Linked DNA regions of Arabidopsis thaliana. The protein of the gene in region 2 purifies or fractionates together with the protein of the main gene of each other region. This does not show direct contact. Each region holds a gene or a part of one and is shown on either strand. Other genes may lie near its edges.

The links.
Region 1: the proteins of AGP30 (region 2) and STRS2 fractionate together in Arabidopsis thaliana (co-fractionation; one large-scale study listed by BioGRID). This does not show direct contact.

The regions. Positions count from the first base shown.
Region 1 is NC_003076.8:2,792,580-2,798,991, reverse strand, and holds STRS2 (DEA(D/H)-box RNA helicase family protein), read right to left. Parts: upstream 4,605-6,412; 5' UTR 4,453-4,604; coding exon 4,211-4,452; intron 4,117-4,210; coding exon 4,010-4,116; intron 3,887-4,009; coding exon 3,831-3,886; intron 3,734-3,830; coding exon 3,509-3,733; intron 3,113-3,508; coding exon 2,906-3,112; intron 2,832-2,905; coding exon 2,745-2,831; intron 2,656-2,744; coding exon 2,560-2,655; intron 2,486-2,559; coding exon 2,270-2,485; intron 2,168-2,269; coding exon 1,985-2,167; intron 1,717-1,984; coding exon 1,444-1,716; 3' UTR 1,232-1,443; downstream 1-1,231. Other genes in the region: AT5G08630 (DDT domain-containing protein), read left to right, coding at 6-94, 267-417; PDE340 (P-loop containing nucleoside triphosphate hydrolases superfamily protein), read right to left, coding at 4,933-5,160, 5,379-5,561, 5,646-5,861, 5,941-6,036, 6,125-6,211, 6,286-6,412.
Region 2 is NC_003071.7:14,292,311-14,297,794, reverse strand, and holds AGP30 (arabinogalactan protein 30), read left to right. Parts: upstream 1-2,441; 5' UTR 2,442-2,557; coding exon 2,558-2,966; intron 2,967-3,622; coding exon 3,623-3,933; 3' UTR 3,934-4,234; downstream 4,235-5,484. Other genes in the region: AT2G33793 (DNA ligase-like protein), read right to left, coding at 380-469, 576-688. UniProt on the Arabidopsis thaliana protein: Proteoglycan required for the timing of seed germination. May function in the abscisic acid (ABA) response.

The sequences.
Region 1 (6,412 bases), on a different chromosome or scaffold from region 2:
TCCAGCTGGATGCATTGATGGGGTCACTAAACCGTAAAGGAGAGAGGGAACTGTCATTATATACACAACTAGAGATATTCTATGACAGAATATGGTCAGTTTATAGCTTCCCATTTCTATTTTGCATAATCTGCAGTATTTATTATTCTGGTAACTTGTTCTACCCTCACTTTAATGCACATGTAGAAGAGTAACACCACATTTATCGAAGTCCCCTTGTTTATGTGTAATGGCTTTAAAACCTGGCGATGACTTGTGATTTGCAGCTCTACACTACAAAAGAGGACGAAGGACATTGCTCACAACATAGAAATGGAAGAAGCAGTGGTTAGGAGATCTACCCGTGTAAGAGCTCCACTACATGAAAATCCAGCTAGTGCCTTCTTGAGATATGTTAACAAGTGGAAAGAGGACTAAACGTAGCAGAATTCAATTCTGTATAGGAAAAGCTTGTAGTTGCAGTTGCAGCCATAGCCAAAACTTACCATTTTCAGCTTGTCTTCTCTGTTTTTTCTTTGGCTCCTTTAGGGTTTAGTAGAGCTTTTTACAAGTTACAACAAAAAGGCATTAGTCTTATGGTATGGTGAAGGCAACGCTTGAGTAGAAAGATGGTGTTGGGTTTTGTTTTGTTTTTCTGTTACCATTCATCATCACCTTCTTTTCAGTACTCTATGATACCGAGGTACCATTTATTTTTTATTTTTTCCGGGGAAATTAGAAGTTTTATTACTATTCCTAAAATGTTTCATTGCAGATTTGCATCTATGTCTGATTTTGGTTGGTGGCTATATTTCTAAGCTTTGTTACAGAAGACTTAGATTAATTAGGCTAAAACCTTTTGACTTATTTTTGTTTTCAGTGCGGTTTGATAAATTTGATGGCATGTCATCTTTGTTTTAGCTCCAAAATAAACATTTAGGACCATCGTTGTACCCTTGTTTTTTGTTTTAAAAAAATCAAAACATGAATTTGGTAGTTCGACATTTGAATCTATACAGTATACAACTACTCGGAGAAGAAAGTCAGTTCTCATTTTCAAATCCAGGTAATTACACCCACACCTGTGGGCTGTAAGACAGAATTTACAATGTTGAACAGCCTAGCTATGATTCAGAAGCAAACCAAGGACTACAAGTCAGGTTTAGTTTTCAGCCAAAAAGCCAATCGGAACTCTTTCTTTTTGGGTAACAAATTCGGTTCGGTAAGATGAACCGATTAGATAATTTTTTGGAAGAGATGAACCGATCAGTTAACCAAAGAAATTTCTATTTTTTCTGAATTTTTTATTTTCGGATTTTTGGGCTCCGAAACAAACCGGATCTTGACAAATTAGTAAATTACCAAATGAAATTCTTAAGAAGGTAACTTTTACCAAAATGCCAAACTTCAAAAAAGCAATAAAGTTCAACACAAACAATACCATTAGGCAAAGAAAGAGAAAATCTAGCGGGAACGATAATTTCTCTTTGCAGGTTTCTTGTCAAAACCTGGAGCGACTCTAATACCAGGAACGTTTTTGAGACCCATCTTGCCAAGAATATTTACAGGGATAGCCGGAGGGATGCTAAGTCCCATACTGCGGCTAAACTCATTAGCTAACTCCACCAGTCTGGTCGTGTCTCTAGCAATCTTCTTCTGCGATTTGTAGTAACCCAACCATGCCTGATATGCCGCCTCCTTGTTCGTCATTTCCACTTGGATAAGCCCTTTCTGCACCTGATTTTAACATGTTTTCAACACCCATCAATGCTCACTCGAGTTACATACTCTTAAGAAAAATTTGGCTTCTAACGTAAAAGAGGTTAGTTTCGTGAGATGTGAAAATCTTATTCCTTTGCATACATATTCCAATACAGTTTATATAACATTCTGGTTGTTCTGGTTTGCTACTTGCTAGCGAATAGAATTTACGAAAGGCTTGCTAAGTTCAATAGAGTCACAAATTCAGGCTAAGTTTACAGTAGTAGTATTTGAAAAATCTTACCTTTTTCACAGCCTCATGGTCTATTGGCGGTAAAGAAGACTTTGTGATGGGCAAGTCCTTAACAGAAGATAGAAAGTACTCTTCCCACGGTGCCAACAATAGTACACCTTCTCCTTCCTTACCTTTCCGCCCAGTTCTGCCAAGTCTATGTATATATTGTTCCCTGTCTGATGGCAATCCCATCTGCAAAAGCAACATACACACAACAACAACTTCGGTAAAAAAAAACAATCAACTTTGTAGATACTGTTCAATTCCATGATTGAAAACTACTACATGATTTACCTGTACGACTAAGGACACATCAGGGTAATCAACACCACGAGCAGATACATCAGATGTCACAAGGATAATACTCTTGGACTTGCGGAACTCATCAGAAACTCTGGTTCTGTAACTCTGCGGTTTTCTAGAATGGATCTCTCTGACGTTAAGGCTTAGCTTACCAAGCAGATCAGCCACCAATCTTGTAACCATAGCAGTTGTACAGAAAATAATAACCTGCAACAGCAAGGAGATCATGTTAATCCAGAATTACAGTGGTGATTAACAAAGGCATTGGAGGAACAATATACCTTATAGCCCACATTATCTGTGATGTGTTTTTTCAGAAGACCATATAGAAGCGAGAAATGTCTATCTAATGATGCAATCATGTACATTTGTGAAACCTGGGAGATAAAACAGACATGAGAAACCATTAGCATCCAATCATATGGCAGGCCATTGGTTCAAATGAACTTAAAAAGCAATCTTTTACCTTTTGATGCGTCTCCCCAGCACCCTCTTGAACACAGTTGACGAATTCATGATCCCGTTTCAGAGCAACATGGCATATTTGGCGGACCTTGATAGCAAAAAAACACAGTTCAAGATTCCAACCCAAAAGTGAAAGCCTTTGTGCAAGAAACTGACACTTACCTCATCAGATACTGTGGCGGAAAATAAAAATGTTTGTCTCTGCTTAGGAACAGCAGCAATTATCCTCTCAATTTCCCTTCGGAAACCCATGTCCAAGAGATGATCAGCTTCATCAAGCACAAGGACTTTCACACCCATCAACCTTGTTGCAAATCCAGAAGTGTTGTCGATATGGTCTTTGAGCCTTCCGGGTGTAGCCACGAGAATCTGAGAGTGTGAAAATATGTTATTATTCAAAAATATACAGAGACAAAGATCACCATCTCTGCAGCCACTTTGACTGCAGGGAAGACAAATAATGCAAAAAAATCTAAATGCATAATGAGGCTTAGATCAAAGAACATATCCTGTGACTGAAAAACAATCCTAACTTGGACAGGGAAATCCATTTCTTTTTAAAAAACAATCTATCTTAATTCATATTCTTAGAAATTCAAATCATGAGTCCATATTGTTCTAGCGAAGGATAACCAACTCAGTTTGAAAAGAAATATATGCAACTCTATTGGTCAGATAACAAGTTTCATCTGAGAAGTCCAGCTCAATGGAAATGCATGATTTGCTCAGAAATAAGTTTACATATTAATACAAATGAAAATTTACCTGGCAAGGACTCTTTTGCAAGCGCCTTTGCTCCGTAGGAAGCTTAGTGCCTCCAATCACAACTTGAACACCAATAGATGGGTGATACTTGAGCAAGATGTTTGCTTCTGCAGCAGCTTGACAAGCAAGTTCCCGAGTAGGACATACCACAAGCACAATAATTGGGGGATGCCTATTATCACGGCTTGCAGGAGGAGCTTTGATAACAGCTTCAATTGATGGAAGCTTGGAAAAAGAAACATCAACATTAATAACAAACCCCAATTAATCAAACTGATTGTAATCCTAAATGACCAACATGAACCCAAAAAGGGTATCTCACCAAAAATGCAACTGTTTTCCCAGTGCCTGTTTTGGCCTTCGCAAGGATATCTTTACCTGGAAAACCAAGGAAGAATAATTAATAGAGGAATAGTCAAGCTTCAAAATGTTTAAGTCATGACAAAACATAAGGAATCATGAAGAAAGATGCAAAAGTTTCTGCCTTTTAGGCAAGTTCACCTTGGAGAATGAGAGGAAGAGTAGCCTCCTGAACAACAGTCATTGTCTTAAATCCAGCATCCTCAATTCCTTTTAACGTTAAGGGAGACAGTGGGAACTGATCAAATCTGTAAGAACCATTTTACCATAAAGAGAAATCTGAATCAAACACCACTAAGAATAGCTCTGAAGCTATCTCCGAAAGAAACGCAAAAAATGTACCTTGTCTTTGACAAATAAGAATCTGAAGTTTTAGCAATTTGAGTCACTAGAGGCGTAGTAGAAGCTGGTTTCTTAATAAGAGGCTCATCAACATCAGATTTGCCTTCTCTTCCCCTCTTTAGACTCTTATTGTTGTCCTTGACTAGCTTTCCCGAGCCATCTTCGTCACTCGTCAACTTCTTCACAAGTTTAGCACGAATCTCTCGTCTCTTCTTACCGGATTTGGGTCCATCGGAATTCATGCCAACGAGTGGAGAAAAGACGGAAGAGAACGGTGAAGCGTATGCCTTTAACTGTAAGGCTCTGCAACTACCAAATTCCCGCCGTCGGTTATTTTAGGGTTTAAAAGGTTTTGTAGGAAACACAATTTAGGGCTTAAGGGTACAGATGCGAGTGGCCCAAAATGTCAACAAATATACAAAACGGCATGTAGTTGCTCCCTTTGCTTTGAAACGTGTTGTTTTATATCAGAAAAAAGTTTTGTTAAATCTTCAAACACGTATAATCCAACTTAATACTTTTTTTGTTTTTTTAGTGAAAATCGAAATACTCATGTTAACAAGCCATTACAAACAAAAGACCTTTATAAGAAGGCAACTTTTATAGGATTTTTTAGTTAGGAAGTCTTAAGAGTGTAGCAAGAATGACAAGAGACTACACGTCTACACTTACAAAACATTAAAGTTTTAAAACCAAAGCAGATCACTAGGAAAAAAGAAAATCTACTTGGTTCTAAGACCAGGAACGTTTTTGAGACCCATCTTGCCAAGAACATTTTTGGGGATAGCTGGTGGGCTGTCAAGTCCCATGCTGCGGCTAAACTCATTGGCCAGCTCCACCAGTCTGGTCGTGTCTCTTGCAATCATCTTCTGAGATTTGTAGTAACCCAACCACGCCTGATACGCCGCCTCCTTGTTCTTCATTTCCACTTGGCTCAGCCCTTTCTGCACCTGAATTCAACAAGTTTATTATACCCAGCAATACTCACTCATACTCACACCCTTCAAAAATCATAGCTTTTAACTTCAAAGAGTTGTGTTATGAGATTCAGGTTCAGTTTCAAGTTCCCTACTCATTCTGGATTGCCAGCAAATATGAGTTAAGAAAGGCTTGCCAAGTTCAGTAGAATCACAAATTCATGTGAGTGCGCTTATATGAAAATGCTTACCCTTTTCACAGCCTCTGGGTCTATTGGCGGTAGTGGAGACTTGGTGATGGGCAAGTCTTTAACAGATGACATAAAGTACTCTTCCCATGGTGCCAACAATAAGACTCCTTCCCCTTCCTTCCCTTTCCGCCCGGTTCTGCCAAGTCTATGTATATACTGCTCCCTGTCTGATGGCAATCCCATCTGCAAAAGCAAACAACTTCAGTTAAACAAAAGAGATAAAATTTGTAGTCGCAGAACAATTCCATGTCAGAAAACTATGGTTACCTGTACGACCAATGACACATCAGGGTAATCCACACCACGAGCAGATACATCAGATGTGACTAGGATAATAGCCTTGGACTTGCGGAACTCATCAGAAACTCTGGTTCTGTAACTCTGCGGTTTTCTAGAATGGATCTCTCTGACGTTCAGGCTTAGCTGACTAAGCAGATCAGCCACCAATCTTGTCACCATAGCAGTTGTACAGAAAATGATAACCTACAACAGCAACGAAATCGGGATAGTTCAGAAATACAGACATTGGTTATTCATAATGGCACTAGAGAGATAATGTTACCTTATAGTCCACATTATCTGCGATGTGTTCTTTAAGAAGCACATGTAGAAGCGAAAAATGTCTATCCAGTGATGCAATCATGTACATTTGTGTGACCTGGAGATAAAACAAACATAAGAAACTGATAACATCCAATCATATGGCAGGCCATTCACTCAAATTAAGCTAAAGAGAAATCTTTTACCTTTTGATGTGTCTCCCCAGAGCCCTCTTGGACACAATTGATGAACTCATGATCCCGTTTCAGAGCAACATGGCATATTTGGCGGACCTTGACACCAAAAAACACAGTTCAAGATTCCAACCCAAAAAATGAGAGCCTTTGTACTAGAAAGTGACAGTAACCTCTTCAGGTACGGTGGCAGAAAATAAAAATGTTTGTCTCTGCTTAGGAACAGCGGCAATTATCCTCTCAATGTCCCTTCGGAAACCCATGTCCAAGAGATGATCAGCTTCGTCAAGCACAAGGACT
Region 2 (5,484 bases):
TTGGTTTGCGATACAAGATCCAGACTAATCCACATATAAAAGAGCTTGATATCTATCAATCGAACATATATATGCTTTCTAGTTTAAGCGATACATGAGCATACCATAACCAATTTCACAACAGATCAACCAATATCAAATGCTAGAACAAATGATCAAACACCTTAGCTTCATCTAGCTATATCTACTTGATAAATTGATTTGCGATACAAGATCCAGATCTAATTCATGTACCAACGATAACAATTAGAAGAAACGCTCCATCAACAAATGCACATGAGCGATCGACATGAATATCTCGATAACTGCATAGTGAATGATGAAATCGAAGTTTACATAACCTAATCAGAGAGAAACATGTAACGGAGAGATATATGACCTGGAAATGCTTTCTTCCTTCTTCTTACGGCCATCTTCGTGCGCTTTCTCTCTGAATTGCTGCAACGCCGACATGATTCCTTTGAAATCGCTACACGATCAACACGGAAACACAATCGCGAGTCACATTTCAGCAAAAAAACAGAAGAAACGAAGAAAAAGAAGAAGACGAAGCAAAAGAAAACACGAGAACGGACCTAGAAACATCGACATCCAATTCGTCCGGGAGTTTTGCTTTCGGTGTTGGCTTCTTGAGCGATTGCGGCGGCTCTGGCCGAGTTCTCTTAGTGCCTCTTCTGGTAGACGACATTGCAGACGAAACTTAGAGAGTGTGAGATTCGATGAAGCGAAATCAATAGCTCTGGCGAGTGGCGATTATCTGCTCTCTCTCGCTCGTGTGATTTGGATTTGAATTTGAATTTTGAAATTCTGTTTGTTTGTTAGAAGACTTCACACTTCACAATAATATATAGCCCACTTACGTATTGTGGATGCCGTCGTAGCTGATCACGTACTCTCACTATTTTCGTTTTCTTTTTTGATTTTTTTTTCTTCTTTAAGTTATGGCTAACATAATTACTATTATAAAAATAAAAAATTATTCTATGCATATAATTCTTCAAATTGTGGGTAACAAAAGTCACTGTTACTTCTATTTACATCAATTTTTAACCCAAATGAAATATGAGACTTGATACATCATGGGCCTCTATTTTTTTGTCAAAACATCATTGGGCCTCATGGCTTAAAAATGCGTATGAAAACTTCCTTCAACTCAAACCCAAATTAACTCAAATTATTGCATGTCGATCTCATTGTTATCTTGAGATTGATCATTGAAGTATAGAAAGTTAGAAACTTTCACCCCTAGGCCTAGTTTATGGTTTACTCTAGCGTATATCTGTCTTACCTCTTCTCTCAAAGCTTAAGGCCATTGTGTTTACGTTTATGTATATCTTCACGCTTTATTTTTATTTTTTTGGTTTAGGTTAATACCAATCCTAAAAACTAAATACATATCACCGTACCATTTAACGTTTTATCAAAGTTCTGTGGTTCAACACTCTAAATATTACATGTGACGCTATACCATACGTTTGCGAAGCTTGGAATTTTTCAAAAAGTATTTGATCTCACATAGCTTTATTCAGAACCTCCAAAAGAATTGCACTTATAATCTCCAAGGCATTGTATAGTTTAGGAAATGAAATCTTATGCATGACGTGAAACGATGAAAGTATAAATCTTTTTTGTAAAACACTAGACCAAAAGAGTTTCCACTATTAATTAACATCAATTTTTAATAGTTATTTTCCTGATTTAAGAATAATTACACGGGCATTGTTTTACCAGTTTCATTAAAATCTAGTTGACTTTTTAACGTATTTTATCTTATCCTGATCTAAGAATAATTTTATAGGCACCGTTTTGCTAATTTAATCAAATTGGAAACCCAAATAAATAGAAACAGAAGTGTGGATATTAATTGAACTTTTAAATGTGTTGTAATGTGTTGAAGCCGCACCAGGCGCATCTTGTTGCCATGCCCATGTTAAGGACCACAAAACATGGAACATGAATGAAAACTCATGCACTAATACTATCTATATCCCAGATATTTGCATTGAAAGTTACACTGTAAATTTACATATTGTCCAATAGAATTTGTAAAATTATATCTATATTTTTTTTTACTAACTCTCATTAAATTCACAAACTATAAGAAATTCACATATACATGACTATAATTTTCTCATAAAACTTTCAAATCATAACATTAATTTGTTGAATATTAACATATATATGACTAAACACTGTATTGAATTCAGCTGTGATGCATTCGTTAATTATTATCTTTTCATCAGAAAAAATAAACTTCAGGTAGGTTGACGAAGTTTTCATTTATTCTATTAAAAAAACCCGGGAAGTGACTGTACTACAAATCAATATCGAGTTTCTTGCTTCAAGTATTCAAACCTGTTAGGAGATCTAAATCTAAATCTTTAACGGGACTACATCGATCGGAAACTTCTCGCCAGTTGTGTACATGTGCTGTGTATGCCTCTACTCTCTAGTATCTATATGAAGTATAAAAAATTGTAGCCCGATATCTCCTATAAATACACCCAAGTCACATCAACCCAAAGTCACACACACAAAGAAAAACAAAAGAACAAAGATGGGAATCATTGGTAAGAGTGTTTCTCTAACTCTCTTTGCACTTTTGTGCTTCACTTCCTCTGTTTTCACCTTAGGAGTGAATCAACCTGGTTCATCAGATCCCTTCCATAGCCTTCCCCAACACCTTCCCCTACCTCCAATCAAACTACCAACTCTTCCACCGGCCAAAGCTCCCATCAAACTACCAGCCTACCCACCAGCCAAAGCTCCGATCAAGCTACCAACTCTCCCACCAGCCAAAGCTCCGATTAAGTTACCAACTCTCCCACCGATCAAACCTCCTGTTCTCCCACCAGTTTACCCTCCTAAGTACAACAAGACCCTAGTGGCAGTTAGAGGTGTGGTCTACTGCAAAGCTTGCAAGTACGCGGGCGTCAACAACGTCCAAGGCGCTAAACCCGTTAAAGGTACTCACTTATATACATTCATGATATGAAAGTCTATATATTATCCTAAAAATCACTCGAACCCTTAATATACGCACCTGTGGACCGTGGTATGTCCGTATGTGAAAAGTCCACACTTCAATCCCATGCATTCATACTTTTTTTTTGCTAAAGGTATGCTGCATGCATACTTCATCCTTTACATTTATTTTAGGCATATGTTATATGTATCATAATCTCATTGTCGGTTGTTCAAAACTTTTTGTGTAAACTTTTAACTATATGCTACCAAGCGAGATTAGTTCAGAGCCGGTCGTATCATTCTGGTCCCTTCACGAATTGATAAACATAAAATATACCATGGAAAACTAAGTAACTTCTTTCAATGCTTTTGAATTTAATTTAATTATAATCAATAGGTTTTTGGTTAAGACAATCTACTGTAGCGAAGCCTTGTCATTGTTTTCCCCAAGTTTCCTATAATACCAAATTTAGCTCAACTAGTAAGAAAATCTTGTTCAAGTCATGCCCCTTCTTAAAAAAAGAGGGTAAATTTACCATAACTAATCTAAACAAATACATGCTCTTGCATTATTTTAAAACAATTTCTGTATAACAAATCTATCCAAGTACTATATTTTCACTTTTTATTTCGTTTGTGTTATCTGGGGATACAGATGCGGTGGTGAGACTTGTGTGCAAGAACAAGAAGAACTCAATATCGGAGACAAAGACGGACAAGAACGGATACTTCATGCTCCTGGCCCCTAAGACGGTGACCAACTACGATATCAAAGGTTGTCGAGCTTTCCTCGTGAAGTCTCCAGACACCAAGTGCAGCAAAGTGTCGTCACTCCACGATGGAGGCAAGGGCTCCGTTCTAAAGCCGGTCTTGAAACCAGGATTTTCCTCGACCATCATGAGATGGTTCAAGTACAGTGTGTACAACGTTGGTCCATTCGCATTCGAACCTACCTGCCCCAAATGAGATGGTGTTATAAGAGCTACTTAAACTTTTATTAATCAATGATTGTGTTGAATATGTATCAGCTTGGTTTCTTTGTATGGGCTTTTCTGGTAGTGTTAATCTTTCTAATTTGCTTCTTAAATAAAAAGTGGTGACGTTTACATATTAGGTTTTTCTTGTTAATTCCTTATCTTCGTGACCCCAAAAGAAAAAAGAAAAAAATAGTTTGCTAAATAAAAGAGACTCTGAATATGTTATGTGGATGTTAATGAACACAACCGTTGATATATTAGCCTATATATTAATTCATTAGGAATCGAAATGACCAAATTTATCTCCAACACCATCATATCAGAACAAGTATTGACAAGTGTTGAGCAACTAGTACAATAATTTTCTTTCATAATTATACTGTACATTTGTTCATTTTGTACGAAACCTCTGATGCCATATATAAAAATGTTATCTATGATTTCGACCTACGAGTACGAACAGTCATCTTTGTACGTAAGTTTGTCATTATTGTATAATTGATTTTAGGAAAAAACTTTCTGTAAGATCAGTTAAAATTTAGTAGATCTCCTATCATTTATCATCATTATATATCTTCAATTGAAAGATGAATCAAAATTAATTAGGCAACTTGGCAAAATATATAAAGTTTATTGACTTTGTTAAACTTACATAATCTATATATTTTTGACAACACATATATCTTTTGGCAAAAACATGGTAAATAGATGGGTTGGTATAACTTAATAACACTTTACAATCGTTCAAAATCACCCAATAACAAATTACTTACCCAAGACTTCATTCCATAATAAGATCTCATTGGATTAACTTGTTCCTACATATTTATATTTTTAGTTGCACTCTGAAAAATGGTCTAGCTAGTTCATGTGTTATAGACGATGTATTGTACTACTATGATAATCACATGAATTGTATAAGAGCGTATGACCCGAAAGAGAGGATTTGGGAAGTGGTGAACGGTGTGGAATTAAAACTACGTTTGGACGGTCCACGATCATTCACAACAAGTTATGGTAGAAAATTAGTTGTGTTTTTGCATAAAATAGAGAAAATGAGCGAGACAACAGAAATTTGGTGTGCAGAGATTGCCCTCGAAAGGCGCGAAGGAGGAGAAATATGGGGAAAGGTCGAGTGGTATGATCTTGTGCTTGATGGAACATCTTGCATTATGAAATGTCTAGCTGTTAAAAATTTGATGTTTCAACCATGTAATGGTGGTCATTATCGTCTTGTCGTTCTATGGTTAATAATGATTGATTTTGATATCAATAAACATCTTCTTTTATGGTTAGAGATTAGCTTGGGTACCTTCTATCATTAAAAGAAAAAGAAATATTTTGATGTTTAGCTTTGTTTAGTGCTTCAAAACTTCTCTAGTTTCTTCATAATTACTCCGTGAACGATACACAAAACACAATGAGTTTGGAAAGAAAAGTTTTTAATAAGCTAAATGCCTAAATCCAACACAGATGACTCATATTTGAATTTTTGTGTAATAACTAATAACGCACATTTATCATATTTTGAATTATGGGA